4 linked regions of the Oryzias latipes genome follow. The protein of the gene in region 1 interacts with the protein of each later gene in a pairwise test. Links are inferred from orthologs where the notes say so. Each region holds a gene or a part of one and is shown on either strand. Other genes may lie near its edges.

What was found. The genes of interacting proteins can lie anywhere in the genome.
Region 2: the proteins of meox2 (region 1) and chic2 interact in binary tests that used the Homo sapiens proteins (3 or more experiments, as listed by UniProt). The two-hybrid records come from large-scale screens. The link is inferred for Oryzias latipes from reciprocal best matches to the Homo sapiens genes MEOX2 and CHIC2.
Region 3: the proteins of meox2 (region 1) and fkbp6 interact in binary tests that used the Homo sapiens proteins (3 or more experiments, as listed by UniProt). The two-hybrid records come from large-scale screens. The link is inferred for Oryzias latipes from reciprocal best matches to the Homo sapiens genes MEOX2 and FKBP6.
Region 4: the proteins of meox2 (region 1) and pacsin2 interact in binary tests that used the Homo sapiens proteins (3 or more experiments, as listed by UniProt). The two-hybrid records come from large-scale screens. The link is inferred for Oryzias latipes from reciprocal best matches to the Homo sapiens genes MEOX2 and PACSIN2.

Annotation. Positions count from the first base shown.
Region 1 is NC_019874.2:31,204,053-31,208,178, forward strand, and holds the start of meox2 (homeobox protein MOX-2), read right to left. Parts: upstream 2,801-4,126; 5' UTR 424-2,800; coding exon 1-423. UniProt on the Homo sapiens protein: Mesodermal transcription factor that plays a key role in somitogenesis and somitogenesis and limb muscle differentiation. Required during limb development for normal appendicular muscle formation and for the normal regulation of myogenic genes.
Region 2 is NC_019859.2:11,120,592-11,124,040, reverse strand, and holds the end of chic2 (cysteine-rich hydrophobic domain-containing protein 2), read right to left. Parts: intron 2,997-3,449; coding exon 2,940-2,996; intron 2,862-2,939; coding exon 2,802-2,861; intron 2,642-2,801; coding exon 2,591-2,641; 3' UTR 501-2,590; downstream 1-500.
Region 3 is NC_019882.2:22,093,418-22,096,917, reverse strand, and holds part of fkbp6 (inactive peptidyl-prolyl cis-trans isomerase FKBP6), read left to right. Parts: intron 1-3,054; coding exon 3,055-3,252; intron 3,253-3,410; coding exon 3,411-3,500. UniProt on the Homo sapiens protein: Has an essential role in spermatogenesis. It is required to repress transposable elements and prevent their mobilization, which is essential for the germline integrity.
Region 4 is NC_019881.2:17,467,616-17,471,115, forward strand, and holds part of pacsin2 (protein kinase C and casein kinase substrate in neurons protein 2), read right to left. Parts: coding exon 3,474-3,500; intron 3,384-3,473; coding exon 3,148-3,383; intron 1,297-3,147; coding exon 1,141-1,296; intron 523-1,140; coding exon 347-522; intron 230-346; coding exon 109-229; intron 1-108.

The DNA.
Region 1 (4,126 bases):
GCACAAACTGGGCGCACCCGGATGGCCCAGGTCAGAGGGCGCGGGCCCGCTGTCGTGGGGTGCGTGTGAATGCGGGTGGCAGAGGCCGTGGCGCGCGCCGCCGCCAGGCGACGGCATCGGCGGGACGTGCCACGAGGTGTGGTGCTGAGGCGGGGGGTGATGCTGCTGCTGGGGGGTCAGGTGGCCACGGTGGGGGTGGTGGGGGTGCTGCCCGTGAAATAGGCCGTCGTCGGCCGGGTAGCTGGAGATGACGCACGGCGAAGGTGAGGAGGTGGAGGAGGAGGAAGACGAGGAGGCCAGGTCGGGGTAGGAGATGTGGTCCGAGCGTCCGTGCAGAGTCAGGGGAGACTGGGTGAAGGCGGAATGGAGGGCCTGCGGCGGGGCGTGGGGGCTCCGCAGGCAGCTGAACAGAGCGTGATCCATGGCGCCCCACCAGAGGAGACAGAGGGGGGTTGGACGTGAAGGAGCTCAACCAGCCAGAGGAAAAACAAACGTAAATCCCAGATGCTGCTCCTTTTCCCCGTACTCTCCCCAAACTTCTCCTGCAGTCAAAGCTCTGAAATGTGGCGTCCTGCGGTAATCCGGAGCGTGCGGCCGCTTGCCAGGCTTCACAGGGTAAACAGTTATCCCGGGACGGGCTGCAGCTGAGCCTCTCAGATGTCAGGAGGAGCAGGGGGCTGGAGCTCCAGCCTGGAAGCACGAGGAGGTTCGGAGGAACTGCAGAACGAGGGGAGCCGGCTGAGGGGATGTTATAAATAGGGTGTAACGTGAGAGGGAGGCTGGGTCCTAGACTGCAAACGCGCTCCTGACCACATACACGCCATCACCCTCCAAAACGCAAAGCACAATAAACGTGTGGCGTTAAAGCGGCCGAGGACGGAAAGACGGCGCTTCACTTTGGACCTGACCTCCGCTGGCCTCTCGGCGTTCTTTGAGATCCTGATGGTTCGTGGGCGGAGCTGGCAGGAGGTCACACGGGGGGAAAGTGGGACACCATGCAGAGGTTGGGAGGTGTCAAGGGTTAATTTGCCCCGCCCCCCTCTGTTTGTCAGGTTTGACCTCTTTAAAAAAGAACTGTGTGGATGCTGGCGGAGATGCTTGTTGTCTCCATTAGCCGCTTCCTGCGAGCATTGTTCTGAGGGACGATGGAGTCCGGAGCGGGCCTGGCGTGCCAAACACGTCCAGCGCCGTCCCGAAAGGAAGCTGCAACATTTAAGTCATGACCTGCTGCACCTGAAACACCAGAAAAGTTCGGCTTTGATTAAAAAAAAAAAAAGTTTTTGAGATGAAGTATGTTTCAAAAACATTCAGAACTTCTGCTTTGGATCAAACCCCCGACATCCACGTCTGCTGCATCCCGACCCGGGGAGGAAAATGGGTCGGTCCCGGTCAGAACAGCAGCACAAAAACTCCACGAACTACAGCAAAACCACAAAACACGGCTTTAAGTTTAGTGTACGCTCAATTCAAGACAAAACTAACTAACTAGTAACTTTCCTGTAACAATTTATTTAAATACAATAAAACCCGAATATCTTGAGTCTCCAGAAAACATATCTAATGAAATTAAGTTTTTACTATTTGCTTGATTTAAAGAAAACTGGAAAGTCTCATTTGACTCATAAAACACACATTTGTCAAGACAAAGTTAGCTTAAAATGTATTTTGCTCTCATAACAAAGACAACACATCAAATTTAGTGTTTATAGATCATTTCAGGCCTAATGTAGTCTCTAAGGCAGAACAACCCAACCTACTAAGAACAAAGTTTTCTAGTTTCTTTCTAGAAGAACATTTTTTCCAGTGCATGAATTTATCTTGAGCTTTTACAAACTAAAAGTCTTGAAGTACCACTTTTATTGAAATCTCTTGAGAGTTCAGTCTGGGAGTTTTCCGTTAGAAACAAAACAGATTCAAAAAGTTCAGGGGTGAATCTGACAGGACTGAATCTGGATTTAGAGCGGCCTCTCTGACTGTTGACTCCGGACTCGAACCAGCCGTTTCCTCACAGCTGCTTTTCATAAAGCAAAGTCGCCAAAGTCCTGTCTACCAGCCGGGGTGGGGCGTCTGTACGCAAAGCGCCACCCTTAAACCCGGCTGAGGACTTATCTGACAGATGGATCCCTGTTTCTAAGCATGGACCTGTTTCAGGTCAGCATCCGTGACCTGTGGTGCGCCTCAACAATCCGGATGCAGGTCCTCTTCCGGTTTCACTGTTTTATTAACATTTCAAAATAACAAAAAGAAAAAGTCCACATATGCAGATGATGCTGAGATATATTTTTATCTTCTATCTTCCCCTGCCCTTCAGTTACTTTTATGAAAACAAAGCTGTAAATTTCCAATCTTTTAAATTAAATTTATAGAAAACCATATGGAGAAACGGGTGTTATTCTTTTATTACTTTCGACGTCAATCTGTGCTCCACATCAGCGTTTATCCATGGAGAACGTTAGAAAACGCTTAACTCACTTCGGTTTTTGTTTTTTTAAATTTCAGACTGAAGTGCTGCGTCTCGGACGACCCAGAGTCAGAAATCACAGAGGTGGTTCATAGAAAAACTGAATTCAGACTTTAGACTCCTCAACGCTCCTGTAATGCCATGCTGTTGGTTCCAAAATGTCCCGAAACATTTCCGTGGTTTTTGTTTTCTAGTTGGTTCTTTTTTTGTGGTTGTATTCAAAAAAACGACTCGATGCTGTTGAGTTTTCCCTGTTTTTCTTATGAAACGCCTATTATGGTTTAATAAATAAAACCAAATTTGTAAATGTTAATAGTTTGAATGTTTGTTCTGCCTTTATGATGTCTTTAACAAACCCAGTTGGGGGGGGGGGACTGTTTTTCTCAAATAATTTTTACATCTTCTGCTGCTGACATTTTTCCAAATATTTTAATAAAAATATCTTTTAGTAAAAGACTTCGCTAAGGATCTGCTGCTCATAAAGCCGTTTTAGGCATTTTTAAGTCAAAAACGTTTGACTTAATAATGTTTTTGACTTCCAAAGAAGAAGACAAGGAGGGAAAACAATGAACCAGACCAATTCTAAATATGGCTTTGTTTGTTTTTATTAAAAGTCGTGTTAGCTTTTGGAAAATTAAAGTTCCTTCTCAGAACTACTGTTGTCAATTCTTTGAGAAATAAAAAAAATAAAACTTTGTGAGACGTTAGTTTTGTCCTGAAAGTCCGGGCAGAACAGAAACCAACCGGAGCTGCCGTTGGATCAGAAATGACAGAAACAGAAAAATCCTTCCTGTGAACCAAACTCTCCGCCCTTCCTCTCAGCGCTCTGCGTAAATCAAAGGCATTTACTTTACAGATTAGCCTCAAAGAATAGATAGAAAACAAATAAAATTGATGGCGGTTTCAGAGAACTCGCAGCTCCGAGACGTTTTACGGGGGGAGCGCTCACAATAACTGCCCGCTCTGGGGAAGGACTTGGCCGGCCCACAGCCTGAGAAAGGAAATTAATTCCTCTTTGAGAGAAAATGACTTTAACAGATAGCTCAGCGGAGACAGGCGGTAACTCTGCTCCCCGCGCCCCCCCAGGCCTTCTGAAGGCAGCGGAGGAAAGGCACCTTCACTGAGTGAGCGTCAAACTCTTCTACTGTTTATCTTACAAATAAAGGCTATTAGCGGGTTAGTGCGGGTCGTATATCTGCCTGGACTGAGCAGGTATGGCCGCACACGTGTTTTCAATCCGTCCGGGCTGTGGGCTGCACCCGCCTTACAGACGCTGCACCAAAGCCTGAAAGGTTTCGGCGTGTGAACGTGGACACGTCCACCAGGTTTTACTCTTTGAAATCACCTCAATGCATTCTTTGAAAAGTGGCTTCGACTGCAGCGACACAACCGTCAGACGACCCCCGATGGCCCCCGACGCCATTTGTTTTTCCAGCTCCTCGCGTGACGACACGTGAAATGACACAGGGGGCCACGGGGGTAAGGACCGGAGCACAGGGGAGGTGAAGGAGGGCATGTGATGATGACCTTATAGGTGGACCTGCTGCTAAAACCTGTGGCTGTCACTCACACGGGTGGGAGGGGTGGCGGCGAGCGCGGCGTGCGGCAGCTCTGCAGACCCTTCTAAGAAAACGGAGCTTCAGTTCAACTGTCGGTGTTTTAAAA
Region 2 (3,449 bases), on another chromosome or scaffold:
ATCCATGGACACCAGTGAAGATCACAAATCATTGAAGAAAAAAGGTTCAGAGCACTGTCTAGTGGGTCTAGATGACCCAACTCCCAATGGTAAAGTGCCTAGGATAGCACAAGGGTTAAAGATGCCATCTTCTTGAAATTACAATTGATCCAATTATAAATATATTTGCACTTATAACACAATAAATCAATTAAATAAAATATGGAATAGAGTTAGAATGCTGCTTGAAAGGGAATGGGAAGAAGCAATTGATTTACTTAACTTTTCTTTTTTTACACACTTGTCATTCATTTCTAAATATTTTTAAATTTCCTAGTATTTTTTTTGTCCAAATGCAGGATTTTTATGCAACTATCTGCCTCTTCCCTTGAAGACATCAACACTGAAAGCTAGATTAGCTGGGAGTCATTTTAAAATGTCACCACATTAAATCATTTCTGTTGCTGACGTCTCATTTCTGTCTTCTCATCCGAAATGAAAAAATATAAATTGCTGCAGAGAAGGATGCCCATGGTAATGTTTATTGATAGTTTATAACTGTACATACATCTGTTCATGAGTCATTTACATGTTTTCCACACGCACGCACACACTCACACAAATAACTCTCAAGGTTATATAAAAAGGACTCGCGTTCTGTGCAGGAATTATTCAGACCTATGAGGACCGTTTGTGTCTGCATCCATCATGCACTCCCACCAATAAATGCATATGGCCTTTGTGCTGTGATTTACAGAGCAGAAAGTGACAGATCAACTGATGCATGTGTCTGTGTGGCTTGGTGTGTGTGTGTGGGTGTGTGCGTGCGTGTGTGTGTGTGCTTCCATCACCATTTGAACAGAAAGAAACCTTCATCTCTATTCCATCCTGGAGTTGTGTTTTTACTCGTGCGATTGTGGACGTGACATTTAAGTCTTTCGATGCTACATTTGATTTTTTTAATTTTTAATTTCCCCTGAGTGACCACAAAACGATATGATCGAAGACACATTTCCAGCTGACAGTAGAGTTTAAAAAATTTCCGCGTCAGCTCGGCACCAAAATGGCACTTTTTGCTATAGAACACCAAACTGAAAAATGATCTAACCTGTACCGTCAGCGGGAAACACGGCTGTAGTTCAAATGTGGAAGAACCGCAGTCTCTTATGTATAGATGTAGAGCTAAGGGAACAAACAAGGTCCAATTATAACTCAAAGTAAGATCTGTGCATTTGTTCAGACAGATTTAGTTGTAGAAATTGTTGAATTTATCAGGAGCCTCTTTTGTTAGTATTTTTGTACCAATTTCAACCATGGGTGCAGGAATTGTGTTAATAAAGTTATTTTTTAGATTCCACACATTTCTAAGAGGATTATCTGCATTTCGATTATCTGCCAGATTAATGAAAAAGTGGCAGCAAAAAGAGAAAAACATAAAATATACATTTAATTTGATGTATAGAGACTCTTAACTTTGAAACCAATGAGACCAATCTTCTGAAGGAGTGAGGCTTTGTGAGCGGCTGTTGACATTTTACCAGATTATTTTATGATATAATAGTGAATATAAACAAATGCACAGTTAAAATTAAAATAAAATCACCTAAAGATGGACACAATCGGTCATGGCCAGGAGAGATTTGAAAGGAGTAACCCTGCTTTAAAGCACAGACTCTGACTCCATGTCTGATTTGTCAAGTTTGTTTTTAACCATTTAGACTCACACACACTCACACACACTCTCACACACACACACACACACACACATACATACTAGCATCAACTTGCATCCATAAAAAAAGTCCAAAAACAGAAGGGGGGTTGGGGTTTGTCCCCATCACCAGTGGTTTGCTCGTATGAACTGAAAAAGTTCCACTGCGTGACAGAAAGCGGCTCCCAGGCAGCCGGTTCATCAGCAGCACTGAGACGAGGGTTAGAAACCCAAACTGCCCGTAAACTGTGCAGCACAGAGACCCTCTCAGACTGTGCTCAGTGCAGTCAGAGTGTGCGATTGTCGCTGGTCTGGGGGTGGGGGGGCACAATGACGTGTGCAGAGACGGGAGAAGGCAAAAGGGTTTCCTGGGAGAAAAGTTTGGATTAGGGGTTAGCAGGTCGTCTCCGTTGTTTTGATTTAACTCGTCTCAAAAACACAGATTTGTGTTTTTTGTTGGTGGAGCGGAAGCGATTTGCTTCGCTGTGGTCTGACTGTGCCGTGTGCTTAAGTTAGCAAACATTCATACAAATGAAAAATTTTTCCAGTCGCTTCTCTCAGCAGTGAACGTCCTTCTCCGGTTTCAAAGCTGGACGCTGTTCCGAAACGGTCTTTCCTCCTGTGGGTGGGTGTTTGCACTCGTCAACGGTGAACCAACACGATCGAGGCTCAACTGTAGAATTCTCTCCAGTAAAAAAAGGATAGCTGGATCTGTAAACAAGGATTTATGTAACCCATGTGCAATTGAGGCCTGGAGAGAAAAGAGGGGGGGCTATGTAAACACAAATACTGGAGTATTTCGGGGGGGGGGGGGGGGTTGTAATGCAGTTGCTTTATAGCCACTGGGGGCTCCGTGCCAGAGAAGGGCAGCAGTGGGGGCTTCAGATGAGCAAAACCCTTTTAGTCTGGTCTGAAGATCGGGATCTTAGGTAGGAACTCTATTAGAATCACCTGCAGGCAGGAAAAGAAGCAGAATCTAAGTGATGACAAAGAGGAAGTCTTCATCCTGAAAGTGCTGGAACGTCTTTTATGTTGGTTCTACTTGGATTTGTCCCAAATGGATTTGTTTAAAATGTGTGCCCTGATGTAAAGCAGATCCAAATATACTCACAAATTCCATCATGTTGTTTGTTTCACACTTCCTTTTGCTAAGTTTCCAATGCAAACACAACTGTAAACAAAGCCAGCAGAGGAAGTCAGAGCTACACAATGACACATACACAAACACACAGAGACATCCAACACACACCTTGTGGTAAAGTCTGCCGTTTTCCCACTCCAAAAGTTTCTCTAGCGATCTTCTCGTCTGGAAGACAAACGTTTATTTCGGTTTATTTCATGTTTGGTGAGGATTTGGTCTGACCCAGAAGTCAGGGACTAGTTTTTCATATTTTGACTTTTAACATGTCAGATAACTGAAAAAAATGATGGTTATAGGTTGAATATACAGTCAGAATAAGCTTAAAGCACGGATTCTGATCTTCTGCATTCATAAGTATGGATTTCTTTATTGGATTCTACACTAATGTTGTAATTTTTGTATTCACGGGTAAAAAGAGAAATATGATGAAGGCACACTTGAGTCGTCATGATAGAAAATGGCATGTTTGACTGGGTTTTCTTGCATTTTTAATTCAAGTTAATCTGCTGCAGCAGGAGGAGCGTATTTAACAACGGGTGTATTTTATTTTGAAAGAGACTTACATGTGCTGTTGTCAAAAGTAAAAGGAATTAAAAATGTCACGAACAGAAACATTTG
Region 3 (3,500 bases), on another chromosome or scaffold:
CACAATTAAACTAAATTGAAACAATTTAATCATCTAAAAAGAAATAAAAGATTTTTGTTAAAGTTTTCAAAGACTTCAGCTTTGATTAAGACAAAAGAAAAACTAATAAAACTTCAACATGTTCACTTTTTGTGGAGCTACAGAAAACATCAATATAATGTTAGTTTTTGTGTAAAATGTATCAAACATATTGTGATCATATAATTGTTAAAAAAAATTACAGTTGCCTGTGCACTAAAATTGAAAAAAATATTTAAAAAAAAAATCACAATTTAGAAAGAATATATTTGTTTTTTGTGAGGTTATATAAAATTGCATGTTAATAAACTGAAGGGAAAAACAACTACCAGGGTAAAATTTCAAATAATTTAGTTGAAAATTATTACTGAAAACTAACTTAACTTTGATTACAACTTTTGGAAAAAAACATTGCAGAGGGACTGTCCATCAATACACACTGTGACTTTCTCCTTTTTTGATTTTTGGATGCTGGTAAGTGGCAGGATTTTTTTTAAGGATAAAAGGTATGGAGAGAAATTAGACTCAGTCGGATTTGTGCGTGCGTGATTCTTGATTTGTGCGTAAATTAGGATTTGTGCATAAATTTGGATTTGTGCGTGATTTGTTACTCACATAATACGTGTTGTGTATAAGTTAAAAAAATATAAAATGAAAAAAATACAAAATGCAATTTACGTATGCACAAATAAAGATTACAACAGCTTGAAACTACTTACACACACACATCTTTAAAAAACACGAACGAATCCATTGTTACGCACGGATCTACCGTGAGACTGTTTTCACGTCTCACAAATTCATCCGTAAGTGCTGCGTTTAAATACCAGTGGAATGCTCGGTCATTACAATTTTCCTATCAGCCTTCCCTTCTAAACGTATTTCCTTCAGTGGGTGTAGCAGGGCTTAAAAAAACTGTAAAGGAAAATAAAAATTATTATCTGAGAATATGACGTTCACTTTTAAACGCTAATATATATATTAAAAGTATATTATTCTCCGAGACACCGAATTGGAAGAATGGCGGCCCATCTCGGTGGTCAGAGCCCCGAAGTAAGTAGCCTCTATGTTCAACACTAACATCTACTGTCTTCATGTATTGATTGAGTCATTGTCTGGATACGTTTAGAAGGGATGATAGGAAAATTCTAAAGACCGAGCATTCCACTGGTATTTAAACGCAGCACTTACGGACGAATTTGTGAGACGTGAAAACAGTCTCACGGTAGATCCGTGCGTAACTTTGGCTTCGTGTGTGCATAACAAGGGATTCGTGCGTGTTTTTTAAAGATGTGTGTGTGTAAGTAGTTTCAAGCTGTTGTAATCTTAATTTGTGCATACGTAATTTGCATTTTGTATTTTTTTCCTTTTATAATTTTTTAACTTATACACTAAACGAACTATGTGAGTAACAAATCACGCACAAATCCAAATTTATGCACAAATCCTAATTAACGCACGCACAAAGCAAGAATATGCATACACAAATCCTAATTTACGCACAAATCAAGAATTACGCACGCACAAATCCGACTGAGTCTAATTTCTCTCCATAAAATGTGCCTTTGCTCTGAAAAGGTTGAAAAACACTGCTGTAGAGTACTGTATAACGCATTAGGAGTGTCTCTCTGAGTCTTAAAACCAGGAGTCGTGTTTCCTCCTTCATCAGTAAAGTGTGAGAGGTCATTTTCTTCCAGAGCTGAGTTTTAGGGAAGAACCAGAGGAGTCACAAGACTGAAAAAAAATCAGCGAATGCGTGAAACCGCAAATATTGAAACGTGAATACACTTTGATCTTTTGTAAAATCGTCCCCAGCTGTCTTTTGATTAGAATGATGCTGTTTTTAGCCCAAATAAAAAAACTGTCATTTTCTAAGACATAGTTTCTGCAGAGCAGCAGAAGCTCATCAGAATTTCACCTCTGAGTTGTTGGTATGGAGTAAGTCTGCCCAAATTTCCCATGATCCCTTTGTTTAAACACTCTCCCGCTAGCTTCTCTCTTTCACTGAAAACACCCCCCAAGCCATCAGGTAAAGGAGTCTAATGTAACATCCTGGAGGCTACTACCAAATCTGCCATTGATGCTAGCACACCCCAAGCTTTCTGCGACATTGTTAAAGAAGAATGGATGAAATTAAACTGACTATTTTGCCTGTTGAAATGCACAGTGTCACTGTCAAGCTACTTGATCACGAAGAGGGCTTGAACGACGTGAACACTCGCTTAAATGCTATGGAAACGGGCGTACGCAGAGCTAAGTCATCAATATAAGAAATTGCTCTTAAGAACTGATGACTTGGAAAACAGAGTAAGGCGGTGCAATATCTGCATTTTGGGTGTTCCTTTAGGAAATTGAACAGGAAAACCTAACCAATTTTGTCTCTGGCTTACTACATGAAGTACATGGTGGTCCTGGTGGTTTGGAGAAGCCGCTGGTCCTGGACCAGCGGTCCAGGACCAGCGGCTTCTGTAGGTACTGGAGCTGCAGGCCTAACGGCGACCATGTCCCACTATCGTTTGGATTAATCACCATCAGGAGAAGGAGCGCATACAGCATCATCCCAGACAAAAAGTCCAACTGGCGTTTCAAGGAAAGCAGATTCTAACCTTTCCAGACTAAAGTTCTGACCTAACCAGTGTGTACAATTATACACCATTCATTTTGAAAATGCATTTTTATTTATTCATTATACAATATTAAAAAATGACATTTCAATGCATGGTTTGCTTTCAATTCATTTTAAAGTTACTATTGCATTGTAAAAGGCTTTTTGTGTCAACATTCAAATGAAATTGTAAAACAGCGCCCCCTGGTGTAATGCCTTTGAAACGCAAACTGTCAGACTCCTTAGGGCGGGGCCTACCACCTTTATGAATTGGCTGAGTCCCACCTCCAACTTCCTAATTGTGTGTCGATGAGTGTCATTTCTAACAGAGGATGGAAGAGCTTTCCTCCTCTCAGCTCCAAACACAAAAGTTACTGTAAAATAGAGTTTTTGATGGAGATGTATTTATTTTGTGATCCTTTTCCTGCCAGGCTGTAATGGTGCTGGAGAACAGGGAGGTCCAGAGCGAGCCGGTGAAGGAAAAGATCCAGCCTGCACTGCTGCCTCTCTACCTGAACCTTTCCCTCACAGAGCTCCGTCTGGAAAACTGGCACAAAGCCCTGAAGTACACCACCAAAGCCTTGGAGATGGACTCTTTGAACACAAAGGCTCTCTTCCGCTGTGGACAGGTCAGTCAGAAGAGGCTTCGTCAGCTGCTGAGTTAATGTTCTCCCTTAGTTTTAGAGCAGTGGAGGTTCTTCCAGTGGCAAAGAACTTTATTTTGAAAGGATTTGGAACTGTTCTGGATGTGTCCCGCTTTCATTCAGATAAAATGATCTGTCTTAAGGCTTACCTGGAACTGGGGGACTTTGAGAATGCTCTGAAGTTCCTGAAAGCTGCTCAGGCCAAAAAACCCTATGACACCGACATCAACAAT
Region 4 (3,500 bases), on another chromosome or scaffold:
TGTGTAAGTGATCCAGCTGGGATTTAGAATCTGGGAGGGTTGATAGTGCTTTCTAAAAAGCCCTTCTCCAAGTACATGTGTTTCTATTTAAAGACTGAAGTAGCTCACCTCAAACTGAGGCCAGTTCATGGGCATACCAGGGCCGTGATTGAACCGGAACCATTTCAGGTCCTCTTCGACATCAGTAGCAGTGATTGTATCTGCCAATGTGTGGTAGATGGTCTGAAACCTACAGAGCAAGGAATACAATAGTGTTAACAAATATTTACATTTCTAAATGATATATATATATATATTTTAAAGATTCCAATTGATGCAACCCAAAGAGAATGCACTCTTGTTTGACCTGTGATTGGTCGAGAGGTCCAGGTGCTGCTTCACCTCAAGAAGCAGCTCTTTGAAAAAGCAAATTCTTTTGTCTTCAAACTGCTGCATCTGCTCAAACACCTGCTCCATGTTCTCCATATACTGAGGCGTCAACTTGTCCAGTTCCTCTAGAGACTTCTCATAACGTTCTTTAGTCTTAAGCAAAAGAGAAAAATATGACATAAGTGACAACAATTTCTAATGCAACACCCCAACACTAACATCTAATGACAAAAACGTGGTACAATACAGCTAAAACAATGGAGTATTAGGACCACCAATAGGAAGAGAAATGAACGTGTGAATAAAATCATAAGATTACGAGAAAAAAGTCCAAATATCAGAAGAATAAAGTTGTACAATTGGTAGAAAAAAGTCATACGACTATGAAAAAAAAAAAAATCAACAATTTATGATAATAAAACAGTAAATTTATGCTTTAAAATGTTTACAAGTAAAAAGGTCAAGCTTTTTAGAAAAGAAAATGTTCCTTTGGCTTTTAAAGGCAACCTGTTCTATTTATGTAGCGGACAATTCAGAGAAATAAGATGGAGATCGAACAACTCAAGAATTTCATTGAATCTGCTTTACTTTTTTTTCTAAATGTACAACTTTATTTTCATGAAATTATAAACGTTATTGTTGTAAAAATTGGACCTTTTTCTCATATTTCTTTATTTTCCGTTTTGGTGGCTCTAATATTCCGTTGAACAGCTCGTGAATAACAAAAGCGCTTCAGAATTTTTTTTGTAAATACATACAGGAAGGCCCCACCTTCTGCACCTCCTGCTGACACTTCTCCACCTTTTCCTGGAGTTTCTTCAGAGTCTCAGGATTGTTGTTGCTCTCCAGCTTACTGTTGGATTCCCTGCTGGATGCCAACTTCTCTTCTTTACAGGCAGCGTGATACGTTTTCTTCATCGTCTCCACCTGCAAAGCAGTAAAACCTAAATAGATTAAATAGCAACAGCTTGAGAAGCAACAATAATCAGACGATATGTTTTTTACAGATTTCTTTAAAAATATATATATATATTATAAATATTACTTTAAAAAAGCTAGACTACATATTTTTACTACCCCGATATTCCTATTATTTCTCATTCTCTTTTTAATGAACCAATATTATATATCAGGTTTGGATCGTGACTGAAACCTTTATGTCCACAAATCTCTGTTTTTATTGTTATAGGGTCCCTAAAAACCAACAAAAAGCGCTCTGACCTGAATGATTAATTTGGACTTTTGTTTATTTTACAGCTCCTTTGTGGGAGAAGTTTTATGATTTATGATTTCATCACAGCAGTCGAGGAAACACAATTGTAATAGGCACTTGGGTTAGATTTGGAACAAAGCCAGAGTGGCTAAGCCCAATAAAAACACACAATCCAGAGAGAAGAAGACACCACGTTAATAATTTATGGTCCAATTCTTTCACATACTTAAAAACAAACTAGTGTACCCCTAATTGTAAGGAAAAAGGGGGATAAATTTGCCACGCCCATGAGGGCTATGAAATACTTTATCGACACTCCCAACTCGTCATCCATGTCACTTAGTTAATTAGCCTAATTTCCTCTGTGTCCTTCACTGCTTGTTTTTATCCGTCTGCTCAGTCAATAAATCAATAATGTCACAAAACTATTCTGTTCTGCCCTGCTCAATGACACGCCAGGATACCACCCTGTGACAACACACAGACAGGAAATAGGGGCAAAGCTTGAAAGTTGCAACATTACTGGCTGGTTTTGAAATGGTATGTGGTTCTACACGAGCACAGAAATGAAACTGAGGGCAGACTCCTGACAGAAGCTGCTTAAGGAGTTTCTCTACAGGAAATGACACAACTTTGACCGAGTAAGAGTTTGCCTCGTGGCCAATCCTCACATTTCCTTCTCTATAACTGACTCAGAAGTATGCAGGGCAGATGGACGACAGCAGAGAGATCATTTGTCAAGAGTAGGGCTGTAGTGAGTATCTGAATAACCAGATAGGTGCAATCATTTCCTGAAAACTTCCGTTTGAATATTTATAACGTTCAAGACTGCCTATTTGCGATCTTTATAAATATAGGAAAGTCTAGTAAAATACACTTCAGACAATTATTGCTCTAAAACGGCAGAAAAATGAATAATTTTAACAAGCGGAATGCGCTACTGTCATCAGAAGTAAAAAATTATTCTTCAGTGCCGGTGAAGGTTGCCATTTTCTAAACAAACTATCAAGTGTTTTCTAAAAAAATAAAAATTCGATAAAAATAATCAATTGAAAAAAAATTAGAAGTATAGTTTACTGAAAATTATTTTTTATTATTTTATTATTTGAAAAAATAAATAGAATGAATATGAATTTACTACAAATATCTGACTGATATGACGTCATATTACCGTCAGCTAGCATGGCAGAGAAGACGTAATGGAACGTCTCCGTAAAATGTTCATCCTAAAAGTGTCCACGTTTTTTATTTGTTACTTTTTGCTAAAGAGGAGAAAAAGTCTGTTTATAAAACACTTCTGCATTCAAAACTCATGTTCACGTGTAGCTATGAAGGTTTTTATGACCATTTGTGGTCTCTACATACAACATGCGTGACCGTTATGAAGGCAAAGCCATGGAAGGAAAGAATGTAATGTTGAATCAACAAAACGGAATCATAGGAACAGAGATTAATGCATCGTCACCAAGACTAACTTGACTAATATTCAGATATAAATGCAATCGAAAATAATAGAAATAAATGCAAACTTTTATTATTAACATTTGAAAAGTAGAGATTTGTACCTCTTTTAGTTTCTTGGCCCAAGGTTTCTGTGCTTTGCGGAATCCATCGTCAGCTTCTTTAGTCTCCTTAAAGCCACCGATCATCTGTTTGTGGTAGGCGTCTTTCTGCCAGTTCTTCAGCTTCTCGTAGTCTTCGCCCATCAGTTGAGCTTTCACCTCCATGTGGAGCTCGCTAACCTTCTCTGCCTCGGTGCACAAGGCCGCCCATGCTCGCTCCAACGAACCGTACTGAGGGCCTACAGACAGATTTAGAAATGAGCCTAGAAGGATATCTGCTCACAAACACTTTCAATGGAAAATTATCTCCTTTTTTTCATGGTCTCTACCTTTCTCTATGAGTTGCCGCCAACGTT